Linked DNA regions of Tamandua tetradactyla. The protein of the gene in region 1 binds, or shares a complex with, the protein of each later gene. Links are inferred from orthologs where the notes say so. Each region holds a gene or a part of one and is shown on either strand. Other genes may lie near its edges.

Region 1 (8,545 bases):
ACTATCTCTACAGCATACTATACATGCAAGGCACTATGTTAGGTTCTGTGGTCAAACAAAGATTAATTACTTTCTTCTATCCTCAGACAACAGGATATAAGTGAGAAGCATAACTATATACATATGGCATAGGGTAGAAGATGACTGGCCCCTAAAAGAGTTTGTATGGCTTTATACATGAGGCGCAGGCTCTGGAAACAGACCACCTGGATTTGAATCCTGGCACTCTCACTGTGAGAGGTCATTTCTCTGTGTCTCAGATTCCTTATCTGTAAAACACGAATATTAACCGTCTCTCAGAACTACTGACCAAGGGCACAAACTAGTTCTTGTGAAAATAAAGAGTAAAAACTGAGGAAAAACTACAGACTTCACAATGACTGGAAGTTAAAGATGACTCTAAGCTCCAAACCTGAGAGACTTGAAGGATGATAATATTAAGCAGAAATGGGAAATACAGACAAATATGTTTGAACAAAATATGATTGGGTAAATACAAAATACGAGCTGCCAAAGAGATGACTGAATAGAAATGACTGGTAAACAATAGCAAAGGTAGAATCAATGGCTCAGGAAAGGGAAATGCTATATAACAAATCCAAGCCACATTTTATACGAGCTTTAGAAATAAGTGAGCTGTCAAATTTTAATGTGCTGGTTATGGGCTAAATGTATATAAAATTTTAGTATAAGGACAGATAAAATCTTTACATTCTCATCTACTCTCCAAATTGCAATGTAAGAATCTAGGCACCTCCTTAAGTCAAAGACTCAATTCATACCTATGTCTTCTCAAACACTATAATGTAAGCAAAAGAGATGCTGGCTCAAACATGCAAATCAACCGATTATCTACATCTGAGATGATAGAGTAATTAAAATACATTTCAGATTTGAAGAGACTTTTATACCAGAAAAATATTCAAAAGACATGTGATTTATATTTGCCATAAAGTACTGATATTTCAATTAGTAAAAATCTTTCATTAATAGATTTTTAAATAGTTTCTATCATAAAAATTACATATAAAATATTGAAGTTTATGATTCTTCTTGTTAAGTACCATTATTTTAGTGATTTTACTTAGTAAAATCTCAAACACAAGATTGATTCAAATAACAGATTCATTCTTTGAGTCAGTTTAGAATTTAAAACACCTTTTCCATAAACGTAAGGATTAAACAGAATGCAAAGACTAGGTCCCTCTAACACACATGAAACAGTACTACAGTGATACATCTACAGAGCCTAATAACTATATACAACATTATTTCGTGAAAAACTGTGATGAGTGTTCCAGTTAAGTACAAGGGGAAGAGGGCTCTCTCCTGCAGCCCTGACATGGAGAATCTGTTTTGTCTGGCTTCAGGAATTCTATAACCTGGAAACCTGAGAAAGGTATGAAGGAAAAGAATCAAGAGGTGAAGGGCCATTATTTTCTGCTAATAAACCATTTCTTAGTGTGGGCAGTCTTTCTTGCCTTCAAGTACCCTTGGTAAAGGACTGCTACTTCTCTTTCCCGCATCACTGCTCTGGCTTTCAAAGGTTTCTTACCTAACACATCACAGGACTGTTATAAGATGTTACCACTCTGATTCCTAAAGTAGCATAAAATCATGCAGAGGCTTCTTTCTTTTAACCAGAAATAATGAGAGCAAGGCAAAAGGGAAAAAGGAGAAGGAAAAAAGATACAAACTCTGGAGTCATGCAGCGTTAGGTTGAAATTCTGGCTCTATCATTTACTAATACCAGCTCGGGTGAGTTACTTTCCTTCTTTGAGTTTCTACTACTCTCTTGTAAAATGGGGTCAACAACACATACTTCCAAGGGTGAGAAGAGCACTCTAGGTAGTCATAACAGGCAGAAAAGCGGAGCTTCTATAGCAACGCAATTGGGTAAGTTATTCCTGACCAAGATACGAACAGCATACTGATTTCTACCTATATGTACATTCACAGATTTTAATATGAGAAACATACATAGGCAGATAAATAATACCAAATGTAAAGAAAACAAATAAATGTCCATTTCCCTACCCTACCTATTCTTCTAAAATAACTAAATACAGGTGTTTTGTTTTTTTTTTTAGGAAAAGAATTTTACTAAAAGATTTTCAAACTATGAAACAATAATTTCTGATATACATTTACTTTGAACATTCTATTAACCAATGTCCTATGTCAGGTATAAAAGAAAATATTTACACAGATGGGGTACAGTCCAAGTATTAATCTGGTTCCTCTTCTGCAGAAAACTCAAGATCCAAACAATGAGGCTTGACTATTTTACCCCCAGGAATTAGCCCCACCTCCTTTATATACAAATAAAATGAATGGAACCACAGAGTACCCTCTCACAGAAGTCAGATATAGTGCGTTGAGGTTATCCTCAATTCCTCTCCCTTGTACTCTCCTTTACCACATTCGCTGAAATCTACATTCTAAATCTTAAATCCATTCCTTCCTCTCCACCTTCAATAGCATTATCATTAAAAGAACAGTTACATCACCTATTAGTCAAGGGTATTTGCTTCCTTCAACTGGCCTCCATCACTCTTTTCTACAGTCTTAACATTCTCTAATCGAGTGTTTTACAAACTTCCAAAAATGATGAGCATTTTAAAAATGAAAGAGGATATAAGAATGCACCATACATAATTAAGGTAGGTCTTATTTCATGAAATATTTGTTTCAGTCATAAATATGAAATATTTACCACATTACATATATTTCTTACTCTGTATACTAGATAAAATGTAGTCTGCAGGGTGTAGGCAGAAAAAGTCCAAAAGATACTTCCAAAGACATCCTTCCTAAAATATTAACCAAATGGCATTCCTCTGCTTAAAAGATGTTAGTGGCTTCCATTACCTATAAGCTCTTGCCCATGTTCTCACCCTCACTCCAACATTCCTATCCAGTCCTACCAACTTTTGCAAGAGCTGTTTCCTCTGCTTATATAATGTTTTCTCCCCTTTTATACAGCAAACACTGTTCCTCCTTCAAGACTTAGTTCAAGTCTGTCTCCATTGTTTCTAAGTCCCAAGAGACCTACATATAAACCATTCACCATAGGCCTACCTGACTTTGCCCAGTTGATTGATGCACCTTTTTGAAATGTTCTCTTCTCTGCATGGCACCACAGAGGCAAGCATTTTCTGCTATCTCCCTGGTTTCTACTCTTTAGTATTCACTTAAATGTTGGTGTTCCTAAAGGTTCTGTCCCAGGTTGTGTTTACTTATCTCAACACACTTCATTTGATCTAATCTATTTCCACAGCATCAATTACATATTTATGCCAAGAACTCCCAAATCTACACTTCTGGCACAGAGCCCCATATCCACATTTCCCATTCTTTTCTAAAACCATCCACTATTTGGATATCCAAGTCTAAGCACTATTATCTACTACCTAGACTAATTCTTAACTAATCTTGGGTCTCATCCACCTCTGCCTCCTTCCAATGTTTTACGTTTTCCACACACCAGCCACAGGGAGTTTTCACACACACACACACACACACACACACACACCTGATCAGTCACTCCCCTACCCACTAGAGGGTTCTCCTTACCCTTAGGAATAAAGTTCAAAAGCCTCAGCACAAATTGCATGACCAGTTATGACCTGACCCTTGCCTACCTCTCTGCAGTTATTAGTCTCTTCTATACACCAGCCGCACTCCTGGAATACTTCTCTATCTTCTCTTCACTCAGTCAACTCCTACTCATTCTTCAGGCCTCAAATAAGCATCCCATTTTGGGTCCCACAGTCTAAGCTAGGTGGTACTTCTGACTTCCACTGTTAAACTCTGTCCTTCACTTATGACAACATCCATTACCCCTTATTATATTGACTTTATAACTGTTTATGTTCCCTGATAGATTTTTGAAGGCAGAAGCCAGGAAGTTCAGCAAGAGAACCACAGAATGGTTCGCACAAGGCCAGAAAGGAATGATGGGGGTCCCCGGGTCCTAAGAGACCGGGAAGAGATTCGAGTCCGGGAGACAGACAAAGACTTTTATGCTCCCACGTACCAAGAGAGGTGGTGCTGCCTCTGTGCGGTCCCGCCCGCCCCGGGACGCAGCCTGGAGAGGACGGTGGGACCCTGAACTGCACGGGAGCGTCCTTGAGGTCGAGGACGCGCTTCTGCCTGCCGGGGAAGCCGCGGGTGTCCGAGGCGGCCGGCGGAGAAGTTGCAGCGGCGCCCCAACGGGGTCGCTTGGTGCACGGCTCACAGCCAGGGCCCGCATTCATGCTGGGACCCACGGCGCACAGTTCCCGGGCCGACCCCGGCGGAGAGTTTCATTCACTAACCCTGAGAGGGACGGACTGCGCCTCCTTATCGGCGCTTCCCCACAACATTCCCTCTCCGCCGCTGCCGGCTTCTGCAGTTGCTGCTCCGCGGGCCTCCCAAGCCGGCCCCTATCCAGGGGCCTGTCTTCCCTCTTCTACAGGGACCCCCACCTGCCTCAGGATGCGCCGCTTTGACTCTGGCTTCGTTCACTTTCCCACCACCGGAAGGTTGCCGTCAGGTACTTCCGGCTTCCGGGGCGTACGCTGTCGCAAAGCGGAAGTGTGGCGAGTTTAGCGAGCGCTGCCGTCCGGAAGGTCAGCGTGTGAAGGAGGCGGTGGCAACGCGGGTCTCCCCGCGGTTAGTGAGGTGCAACGGCCGAGCGGACGACCCCGGCTTGAGGCATCGGCTGGAAGCAGGCGCAGGCACACCATGGAGGGCGGCGGGGGAAGTGGAAACAAAACTACGGGGGGCTTGGCCGGCTTTTTCGGAGCCGGCGGAGCGGGTTACTCGCACGCGGATTTGGCCGGCGTTCCTTGTAAGTATCGGGCCTAGCCTGCGACTATTTCTGATTCTGATTCATTTTGCGACTACACGACCTTGTGGTATTCCTTATTCTTTTTATTATTTTTTTTGCGGGCATTCACAAGTTTCAGTTCCAGGAGGGGTTAGAGTGTCTTTTGAGGATTGAAAGGATTTGGGGGCCCGTGAATCCCGGAGAGGCTCTCTGAGGTTGACCTGAACTCTGATGCTGCTTGTATTCTCCATTTTGTATCCAAAGTGGTGCTTTTTCTTTCTTCGGATACGTTGCCTGTGTGTTTGGCCCTTATATTAAGAGGGAGCCCAGCTCTGTGAGTAAATATATTCCATATAGCGAGTCTTTAGATAGCTTATTAACAGCCACGTATTCGACATCAATATCCATTTCCCTACCTAGCCGTGAAGGCAAAACGTTGAATAATTGTGTCCATTTAAGAGGTAAACATATATGAGTTGAGCCAAGCCAGGAAACCATATGAAGGAACTGGGAAGTGAGCTGAACTTTAAAGGTGACTTACAGACATGAAGAGAGAAGCCAAGTGGGGATTCTAGGTGGAGAAATATGCAAGATGCAGAGTGCAGAGACGTGGAAACCCTATCCCTGCCCTGCCCTCAATCCTAGGAATATGCATTTCAGGTGTTTGAAACTTGTTAGTCGTAGATATTCAACTGTATAAATTAGAAGTTGGACATAAAAATAATAGAAAGTTGGTGGTGGATAAGCCCTTTGCCAAAGTATTTTCTCTTTGGAGAATCCCTGGACATGTTTCTGTAGGACTTTCACACTCAAGGACAAAAAGTGCCCTTTTATATACATAGTGTCACCAGTATCAGAACTGGGTCCAGAACACAAATTATACTATATGTAATGACTTAGGCACTCTGAATTTCAGAACACAAAGGGAACTTCCTTAATGTGATGAAATATTGTTAAATTGATTTGATTAGGTTAAAGATTTGAAGATTAAATTGAGGCACTGTAAGGTGAACAGTGTTAATTAAGTACCTCCTACAGTGTGCCAGCTGCTTTTCAGGGTGAGGGGCTACAGCAGTTTAAAAAAAAATTTCTCCATTTGTGGCTCCTGCATCCTCCTGAGGTGAGCCAGTTAACACATAAAAGCATTTTGGATAATGACAAGTGCTGTAAAGGAAATAAAACAGGATCATGAGATGGTCATGGGACAGGGGTAATTTGGAGCAGGTGGTCAAGGGAAGCCACTCAGTGGAGATGACATTTGAGCTGTGACCAGACAGAGAAGTTGGCTAGTATGCGTGCCATTAGACAAAACAGTCATGTTTGAGAAACAACTGACTGTTAAGCCAGTGTGTCTGCAGAGTTGCAAGGGGGTTGAAATGGTAGGAGTTAATAGGTCAGAGAGGCTGGGAATCACAGCTAAGGTAAGTTTTGTAAACCATCCTGAGGAATTTGGGATTTGATCAACTATAGAGAAAAACCATTAGAAAGCTTTAAGTAAGGGAGTGATGTGATTGAATTTCCTTTAAAAATCACTGATTGGTATATAGAAAGTAACCAAAGGGGCAGGAGGAAGCAAGAATTCCAGTTAGGTAGGAGTCTGTGGCTATAGTCAAGGTGAGACTTGATGTTGGACTAGGGTAGTAGCAATGGAGATAGTGATAAATAACAGTTTAAGATCTATATTGAAAATAGAACAGGACTTGGAATTGATTAAAAAGACAACAGTCATGGGTAATGTAGACATTTGTGAGCAATCACTTGAGATATGGAGGTAGTCAGAAGTTAAATTTTTAATGAAAGAAAGATGATTTTCCTAGATATAGTTTTCTCTCTTTAAAGTTAGTGAAATTCATTTCTGCATCTCTGAAGGTTTGTATTTTCTTTGGTCACTACCCATCCCCATGGTGATGACCAAAGAATTCTCTTCCCTGCCGTGGTAACTCAAGACAGCAACTGTCAGCTCTAAGATCTGAAGAAACTGCCTTAAACACACGTTTTTTTCCCCCATGAAATTTGTCTTCTCTTGGTCTTATTTTGCAATTTGTGTAGTTACCAAGCATTATTTCAGCAAAGTAGAAAGTAGTTAGTTCTATAATTGACATAGGCTGTGTTTCCTGTTAGTTTGATGATTAAACCTATATTATGGCCCATATTTTCTTGGTGTGAGAATCTGCACCACCAGTGCAAGACCAAGTTGGGGCTGAGAGCCCCAGGAGGAGACACGCCCCCAGCCTGCCAGATAGGAAGGGTAAGCCTTAAGAGAAGGGCAGGGTGCATTGACAATCAGTGAGCCTATAAATTCGAATTACAAAACCCATGTAACAATCACTGAATTAACTCCAAATGAAATAGCTTTAAATAATTTTGTTGCAATACGACATTTTGTTTTTTCTCTAGTAACTGGTATGAACCCTCTGTCTCCTTATTTAAATGTGGATCCTCGCTATCTTGTGCAGGTAAGATTAAGATTAGTCCTTTTATAATTTTCCTAAATTGGTGTTTTATTTTGCCATTTTGGAAAACTGCTGGGTATTTATGATGACTTGGATGTTTGTATGACATGTACTTCTGAAGCCACCAAGTCTCTGGTCTCCCTTTTTTTTCTCACAAATCTTAGGTACTTGGCTTACATCTCCCTGAAACCAGTTGATTGACTTTCTTTTAAGGTTCATTTTCTTAAAACAACAAAGAATTAATAAAAAGAACAAATTGTGGTAGGTAGTTACAAAGTTTTTAAGAAAGCATTAGTACCAAGTTAAAAGTAAATGAAAATGAGGGTGTATGAGTGGTTCATTGGTAGTATACTCTCCTTCCATATGGGAGACCCAGGTTCGATTCCAGGACCATGCACCCCCCCAAAAAAGAGTAAATAAAAATGAAAAGCCTGGGACTCTTAAAACAGAATCTGTTTATATAAGAATAGGCGGAAAAATTTGTACCTCACTACGTGTTTATTTTATTAGGTCAGATTTATAATTTTGTTTAAAAGTTTATAAGAATTAACTTGTGATGAATGCAAACATTTGAAATTAGTAATATACAAATTTAAGATTTATATTAGCCTCAGCATCCTCAGTTTTGTTTTGTTTTGGTTGGTTGGTTTTGTATTTGTTTTTGTGTTTTTTGTACGGGGAAAATCCTTATTTACACAGGTAAAATTGTAAATGGCAGGTTTTTTAAAAGCTCAGTTTGCAGTATCACGGTGCCAGACTGAACTAATCCAGAGGCTTCAGCCAGTAGTATGTGCACATCCCAATAGTGCAAAGTTGGTTTAACATCCAAAAATCAATTAATGTTCTGTACATGTCAATATATAATAAAGGGTATGCTTGCTGAATCATTATATTGATATTTGTTTTAGTCTCTGGTACCTTAGAGCAGCTAGAAGTAAAAGCCTAAAATTGTGGAATTATAACCCATACCGAACTTTGAAATCTGTTCTACAACTAATTGTTGCATTGTACTTTGAAATGTATTGCTTTTTTGTATATATGTTATTTATCACAAAAAAAAGGAGATGAAGAAGTATAACAGAAGATAAGACTTAACAAATGAGTATGACTGCTGAATCATTATATTGATATTTATTTTGGTCTCCAGTGTCGTGGGGTAGCTGAAAGAAAAAATGAAAAATCATGGAACTGTAACCCGTACCAAACTTCAAAATCTGTTCTATAACTACTTGTTAAAATGTACTTGGAAATTTATTGTTTTTCTGAATATAAGTTATAT
Region 2 (8,252 bases), on another chromosome or scaffold:
TGCAAGTGAATAAATTCCCATGGTTTAACCCAAAAAGAAAATAACAACAAAACTTATATTCCCGCTATAAACTCACTATTCCACCCACATACCCTATATATTAACCACTCACATTCCATGCCCTTCATACTTCCATGCTTTGGCTCAGTAGCTTCCCTTGCTTGAAACACACTTTGTCCTCTTCTCTTGTCTAGAAAATTTCATCTTATTCTTCAAGGCTCAGCTCAAATTTCACTTTTCTGAGAAGCCTTTCACTCAGGCTATGTTAGTCAAGGTCCCCAGGTCCCCGGTAAAACTCTGCTCCTAGCTGTGTCGGGCACTTGAACTGGGATTATGTACTTCTTTGTATTTCTCTCTCTCCTTCACCTCTAGACACCAGGCCCCTGAGGGCAGAATCTGTTTTACTCATCTCCAACTTCCCAATCCTTGCTTGGTGCATTACAGATAATAAATGTTTATTGAATGAATAAATGAAGAATGAGTGCTAGCCAAATACTAACCAACTAACCAACCAAACAAAAAGTAGTAAAGTGATGTAGGCATGAGATTAGTTCTGAGTTCAAATTGATTTACTACTTCCTCGCCCCATCACTTGCTGCAAGCTTACTGTGTTTGTTTGCTCACCACAAAATGAACATAATACCACTTACAGGTTTGTGGTGGGGATTAAACAACAATGCTAAAAGCAATTAGAATGTTAGCTATGATTATTAAAAGAATAGGAAAATCACATTATATTTTACAATTAAAAGGTAAACAAAATGAAATTTAGAATAGTAACAACCCTAATCACCCAAATGATGGAATCTACAAACCACAAACAAAACACCTAGTTTGCTTTGTACTCTGTGGGTACTCAAGTACTCATTAAGGGTAACAGAAAAACTAAAATTTCAATGATTAAGCACCAAAACAAAGTAAGTGGCAGAGATTTATCACCCAGTGACCTTCACGTTACAGAACTGTGCATCTTGGCTGTCAGTGATGTCTGCATCAAAAACTTTCCACTGAAACAGCATATTTACAGGAATGGAATAGGGAACTGGACAATTAAAAAATACTCAACTGCTTGAGTTTTACTGACTACAAATTTTTTACATTTAAAAAAATAATTTTGATCCAAATTTACTTATCCTCCTCCTTGGCAATTTACTGTGACAAGAATAAACATCTTTTTGCTCTAAGATTAATCAATTAATATAAACTTATACAGAATAGTCATCGTATGCAAATTGCTGTGGTAGATGTGTTTTTTTTTGGGGGGGGGACCCTAATAAGTTTAAGATTTGTTTTCTAGTCTAAGTGACCCTACTAATTATCAGGATTTCAAACAAATGGGCATTTAAAACTTATTAGAGAACAGCAGGATTCAGATCAGAAAGAAGTTAGACTTGTGAGAGTGGATGTCCTTAACCAAGGCAAGACAGAAACCTTTTCTGAACAGTATAGCTAAACCAAAATGTTCCTGCAGAGAAGTAATGGGTTATATGAAAGAAAAACTGAAGCCAGTAAACGCCAGACAAATGCAAGAGAAAACCAGTAACTAACACTAACAAGATGAGAAGTTACACATTAAGTATCAACTACGTTGTAGGTGCCCTATAACTTAAATAAAATCTATGAACTCCAAGAAAGCTGAATTAAAAGTTACAGAATCCCTACTCTTTTAAATCAGCAAAAAAATCGTATCCTCTCCTATTTTCCAGAAGTCTGTCTGAAGTTCAGAGATTAAGAAACTTGCCCAAGGTCATAAAGGTAGTAACTAGTAGAACCAATTTAACAAAAATCTAAGGTTCATATTCTTTTCACTTTATCATATGGTCTAGGGTTTTTGAGCAGAGAACACATGATAAAAATACTGTAAGAACAGAAAGGTTTAAGTTTTCAAATAATTCAGACTGGACACTGTGTGTGTGGAAGGTAGCGGAGACAGCTTGTAATTTTGAGCTTGTATGAACTGAGGGAATCCTGCTTCTTACAAAAAAAAACAAGCAAGCAGTTAGAAGAACAAAGCAGTTATGACTACATAACTACAGTTACGACTAGTTAACTGACTGTACTGCTTCAAGACACAGAGGGTGTAATAAGAGGAAACAAAGGGCCTGGCTAATGAGTTAGTATGAAAACTCATTCTCATTTTACTTACTAAAGATAAATATTTTATGCCCCTGCCAACCCAAGCCATCACAAAATATCTGAAAGCAATTAACCACTACTATACATGCTGTGTAACAAATCTCAATAGTCTAGTGAAAAGGGGAACAACTGCCTTTGAAAAAGAAATTTAAAAGAGTTGGAAACTACTGAATTATTGCTATGCCACATTTGGGGGTAGGGGTGGAAGCAGCCAACAGGATATATGCCGGCAAAGGTAATAATTTAGTCCTGGGCACTTTCACAACTTAAGGACACCTTGGATCTTGCTCTTACACAATAAACATCTGATTAACCTAAGTAAGATTTGATTTCTCTTTATGTCCCCAAAAGCCTGAAAACTCAGGAAACTTGGGGCCGTCTCTCTGACAGCAAATGTAACTGTTTTATAATTATCTGTTTATGTGCCTGATTTATTCATATATTTATTTCTTAAACCAAAACACTTAATATAGAAATCTCACTTAAACGAATGAATGAATGTATTTTTGTTCATGGTTTTTCAGGTAAATTTTGCTCCCCCAACCCCCACAGAGGAATTCCAAGCGAATAAATGAGGCTTGGAATTATCCAGACCATTTGGGGAAAACCTAAGCTCCACTCGTTTGAAATCTTTCACCTTGCGGACACACATCACGATACAAATAAGGCCGGAGGCCTATTTTCCCTTCCTCAACGTAGGAACAGGGGAAAGCGAAGCGTAGGGATGCGTCCAAGGTCACCACAGCCGGCCGAGGGAACAACTAATGACTCCACACCGGCCAAGTACGCTTTGGGTTGCGAAGAGGCTCCGAGACTCCATCGAGTTCAAGCCTGGACCTTTCTGACCATCCATCGCAAGGTCACCGGGGTGCTGAGCGCTGGGGGGCGGCGACGCTGCTTCACGCGGCCCCGGAGATACACGGCTGAGAAGCCAACTGGCCGTTCAACTCCGCGATGCCCACGTTACCAAGCCCACATCATCGAGCCCGCGGTTGAGTTCGGCTTTCACCTAGAGAGCAGGGATAGGAGAGAGGGAGGGCCGTGGGCAAAGGGGCAGGAGAAAGACAAGGACAGTACATAAAGCTTACCAAGGTTCCCGGGCGTACTCCTCCATCTTGACTGCACCGGCGCGAGCGATGCCGGGCGAACTGGGCGGAGCCTGACCCCAGCGGCGGAAGTGATCCCGAGAGCAGGGCGTTGTAGTCTACGGGGAGTGGGTCACCGTTTCCTCCCGCAGCCAATGGGAGCGCTGACTCCTGGGTCAGCGAGCCCCGCCCCGCCCAGGTCCTAGAAGGCGCGGCGTCAGGATTGCGTGGGCGGGGAGGCCCCTGAGTGGCGAAGGGTTCAAATTACCCTGAAATTATGCTGAAGGTTCGGTGATCTGAGATAGACTTGGTATCACGCCGCTAGGGTTCACCGAACTTTAAAAGTTCACTTAAATGCGTTTTTTTTTAGTTCTTTGGATGGCGATCGTGAATGAATGCTATTGTCATGAATTGCGAAGTTTTTATCAACTTATTTGAGCTCTTTTAGGGAGGACAAATGCCTTATCCCTTTTTTATAGTCAGTGTCTGGGATGTAGTAGGTCTAAATAAGTGTTTGCGAATGGAACTAACTAGGCCAACTGATGTGCTATGACCAATTTGGGGCCCTCCATTTGAGAGACACAGAAGACTCATGTGGGTCTTCCTCCTAATGAGTTACCAGGAGATGTGAGGGATGTTTAGCCCAGGAAAGAGGAGACCGAAAGCGTGGGGACCCATTGGCTCCTTCGGACTTAACAGTCCACAAAACCCCAGTCGTGCAGGAAGCTGTTAAAGGAGCTCTTCTCCATTTAGCACTTTAGTAGTTGACTTTATGTATATGTTTATTTTATGGAAACTTAAGTGTAATAAATATAGTGGAGACTGCAGGGACGAATGAGGTCCCTCCCGAAAGCTAGGAGATAAGGCAAGCACATGAATTGAACACTATATAGAACTGAAGATTGTCAGTGAATGCGTCTTGTGCAGGAGAAGTACAACTCGTTTGAGTAAGTTCAAGAAGACCTATGGGACTAGGTGATGTTATCAATAAAGTTTAAATCTAAGTGTACAGGCTGGTGAAAGAATATAGAAGATGGACAATGAGGAACCTAGAATAAGGAAGTCAAAGAGAAATTTTTTCCTATTTAGTCAGCACTCCAGATCTGGTGGGCATAAATATTTCAGTAACTAGAGATATGTACTCTTGTTACCAGGCAAAGGTTGTGGATTCTTTTGTCTTATGTGCTCAATAACCAATTCCTGAGATACCAGAGATTCAACAGGAGAGGGAGTTTATTGCTACGTGCATAGTAGGAGAACAGATGGCCTAGCGGTCCAAAACTCTGTCTCCTGGAGTTTAGAGTATTCAAAGCTTTTAGGAATTTTACCAAGGGAAGATGAGATCATTCCAGATAGCAAGTTCAAAGCGAAAAAGAAGGTAGTGTTATCACTATCATTTTCATAGGAGGACATAAACTGAAAGGAGGGGAGGTAGACTATCACTTCAGTGCTAAAGGTGTAAGCCAAAAGGAAGGGAGACAAGTTAGATTTCAATGGCAGAATCTAGCTGATATTATTTACAAATGTCCAGGGCTGAAGCTAGTTAATGGCTGACTTTAAATTCTTCAGTAGCATTAGGGCCTTTGCCCTATAAGAAAACGTCCAGATAAAGGGGTTACAGCCCTTACAGTCACAAAGGCACGAGATAATGGCTTTTACAAACATTTCAGGTATCAGGGCAGCTGGATTACAATTTAGAAATTGCAGGTATTCCCTTCCGTTTACTCCAATATCCCAGAAAGCAAAAAGGAATATGATTCAGTAATCAAAATCATCCCTTAAATCCTCTGTGACACTGTCATGAGACAGGGATATTTTCCTGGTCTTGCTAGGGCCTGAATGAAACATCCTTTTCCTCTAGCCACCTCCCTTTGCTCTTTGTCCACCTTTGTTATGCAGTCCTCTGGTTGATATTTAGTTTCTGAATAGATTTTCCTATAGGAGAGAATGTCCTAACCTTTGCTCCTAAACTATTCTTGACTACTTTGTAGTTAATTTGTTTTATGCATCTGCGTTTTATGAGTTTGGCTCTTTTGAATCAAATCAATCACCAGTAGAGGTGATAATATTGTTTCTGAGTTCACAAAGCAGAGGGCTAGACTTCAACTGTAGTTACCCAGATTACTTCATTCCAAAAGTCTTTATCCTAAAGGAGCTTACTGTTCAGGGAGGCCCTGCTCAAGTAACCAGCCAGCATCATGAGTCTTCACCCTCTGCTCTCTTTTTTTAAAAATTTTTTAAAGAAAATGACAAGAAAGGAACACAAATATTCTTAACATACGATCATTCCGTTCTACATATATAATCAGTAAATCACAATATCATCACATAGTTGCATGTTCATCATCATGATCATTTCTTAGAACATTTGCATCCCTCTGCTCTCTTTTAACTGCAGCAGATAAAGGGTGTAACGGACAGTTTTGGTGGGGCAAGACCTAAGATTTAGCCTTTGTGAACTAGAAGAGGAAGATGTCACCTCTCCCTCCAAAATAACCACTTACATTTGGTTCTAGGATGCTGAACTTTCTGGAAGAAAATAGATGGGGACTCTTTAGGAGTCTTCCCTGAGTGAATCTTAGAAGAAGTTTAGAGGATCTGGGTTGGCCGCTGAAGGAATGGTCAACGGAAAGATAGAAGAAAACAGTAGGAATCCTTGAGAGAAAACTCACCGTAAAGGTGACAGGTGTTTGAACTGATGACTCAGCACACCAGGATATGTTTTGCTGCAAGTCAGTGTTTTGGGACCAGTGTGGGACTCATGCTTGAACCCCCTGTGATCTCTGTGCTCTGGTATTGTTTGGAGGCATATACCTCTGTATGTGAACATCTCCCACCTGTGTTGATGAACTTGGTGAAGTAATGAGTCTGGCTGTGTCAGGTATCTTCTTCCATACCGTAAAGTAATTACCCACCCCACCCACTTCCTAGTCCTCAGTTAGCTTTTATTCATCTCCCTGTCTTGCACAGGTAGAGCTGTTGTTTTTTTCTTGGATGTGGGTGAACTGGTAGAGGTTAGGATTGGGGAGAAATGGCCATTTAATAGATATTAAAGGTGGATAGGTAGTACTAGAACGCGATAGTAACTAGTGGGATTAGTCAACTGTAGGTCAATTATAAGACCCCTATTCTATACTCATCACTGTCCTTAGTTTTAGGGTTGGAATGGGGGAGTACAAAAAATACTGAAATGTTTCCTTTCCTGAGAGGCCTCAGTGTGGTTGGCGAGAAAGAATGCACCTTTAAGGAATAGATATTGGGTCAAAATTATAAAGTACCAAAAGGTGTGACATATAGCACCATATTAGCCCAGGCAGTTTTCAAAATTGAACAATTTGAATGCAATTGTGAACACTGAAACTAAGGACAGTGAGGAGCTCGTAGGGGTTCACGAAACTTTGGCGAAAAGTTGGTATTTAAGCCATGACTTGAGAATGGTAGGACTTTTTTTTTTTTTAAGAGAAATTGTAGTTTTACAGAAAAATTATGCATAAAATAGAGTTCCCATATACCACCCTGTTACTAACACCTGGCATTAGTGTTACGAATTCATGAAAGAACATTTTTATGATTGTACTGTTAACCATAGTTCATTTTTTACAAAAGGGTTCCTGTGTTATACATCTCTATGGGTTTTTTTAAAAATTTGTTCCATTAACATATGTACAACCTAAAATTTCTCCTTTTAACCATATCAAATATATAACTCACTGCTGTTAATTATGTTCACAATGGCTGCCATCACCACCATCCATTACCAAGACTACCCCAAATCGAAACTCTGTACATTTTTTTTTTTTTACAGTTTTTCCTTTTATTAACAAGCAAAATAGTTAAAACAAAACAAAACAAAAAACCTATGCACAATGACAACCTTAAATTTGGAACAGCAGTACTGCTGGAGTTCACAGATGTACCTGGGGTACATGCTCCCTCACTGCAAGACAAGACCTAGGCACATGACTGTGCATTTAGGTATATGTGACTAAGAAGAACCAGAGTGACTGAAACCACTGGAGAAGAGAAAGTATCAAGAACTTTTCATCAGGCAATCCCAAAGCGCTCTGCTCTTGTCCTCTTCTTTGCCTCTGTATCCTGTGTGGTTCCAGTTCCAGCTGAACTAGTGACAATCCCAAATCGCTCCTTCCACTTTTTCAGCTTTTCGTCATCTTCAGATTTTCTGGAGATTGAAGAAACATTCAAATCAAATCTTTGAGCTCTTTCCTTTAGCTTATCCAGGTTAACCATAGGTTTGGTGTCAGATGATGGGCTTTTTATTGGAACTGAAGAAATGCCAAACCTAGCTGCCCGACAGCTTTCTTACTCTCCAAGCTCACAGGAACATTGAATCATTCAGCTCTTTTCTGCATTCTCTCAGTCTGTGGTATTTCAGATGTATTTTTTACCACTTTCTTTTCTGCTGACACATCAATAGTTTTTTCAGGGAAGTTTTGGCAGGCAGTTCTAAGGGCTTTGGTTCTTCTTCCTCTGTTTCATCTCCCAGTACATCTTCTTCATTTGCCTCCTCTTCAGCATGCTCTTCAAGATATGCCTGGAGCCTGTTGATGAGATCTTGTTTAATTCCTTTGGTTTCCAAACCACAAGCACGACATTCCTGCTTTAGTTCAGCAAGCTTCAGCTTATGGAGCTCCACCGTCTCTGCCGCCATCTTGTTACCCCCTCCACTCCGAAACTCTGTACATTTTAAGCTTTAACTCTCTATTCCTTACCTCTTACTTTGTCACCTAGTAACATATAAGTCTAGATTCTGACTCGATGAATTTGCTTATTCTAATTTTTTCATATCAGTGAGATCATGTAGCATGAGTCATGTCTGGCTTATTTCACTCAGTATGATGTCTCCAAGTTTCGTCCATGTTGTCGCATGTATCAGAACGTCATTCCTTTTTAGGGATGTATACATTTTGTTTATCCGTTCATCAGTTGATGGACACTTGGGTTGCTTCCATCTTTTGGCAGTTGTGAATAATGCTGCTGTGATCATCAGTGTGCAAATTCTATTCTATCCCC

The links.
Region 2: mitochondrial import inner membrane translocase subunit Tim23 (region 1) and TIMM17A share a complex: the UniProt entries of both Homo sapiens proteins name them as parts of the TIM23 complex. The link is inferred for Tamandua tetradactyla from reciprocal best matches to the Homo sapiens genes TIMM23 and TIMM17A.

What each region holds. Positions count from the first base shown.
Region 1 is NC_135339.1:5,643,311-5,651,855, reverse strand, and holds the start of mitochondrial import inner membrane translocase subunit Tim23, read left to right. Parts: upstream 1-4,586; 5' UTR 4,587-4,728; coding exon 4,729-4,834; intron 4,835-4,925; exon of another isoform or gene 4,926-6,938; coding exon of another isoform or gene 6,939-7,061; intron 7,062-7,210; coding exon 7,211-7,269; intron 7,270-8,545. Other genes in the region: PARG (poly(ADP-ribose) glycohydrolase), read right to left, coding at 4,040-4,259. UniProt on the Homo sapiens protein: Essential component of the TIM23 complex, a complex that mediates the translocation of transit peptide-containing proteins across the mitochondrial inner membrane.
Region 2 is NC_135330.1:59,015,117-59,023,368, reverse strand, and holds the start of TIMM17A (mitochondrial import inner membrane translocase subunit Tim17-A), read right to left. Parts: upstream 3,341-8,252; 5' UTR 3,251-3,340; coding exon 3,225-3,250; intron 1-3,224. UniProt on the Homo sapiens protein: Essential component of the TIM23 complex, a complex that mediates the translocation of transit peptide-containing proteins across the mitochondrial inner membrane.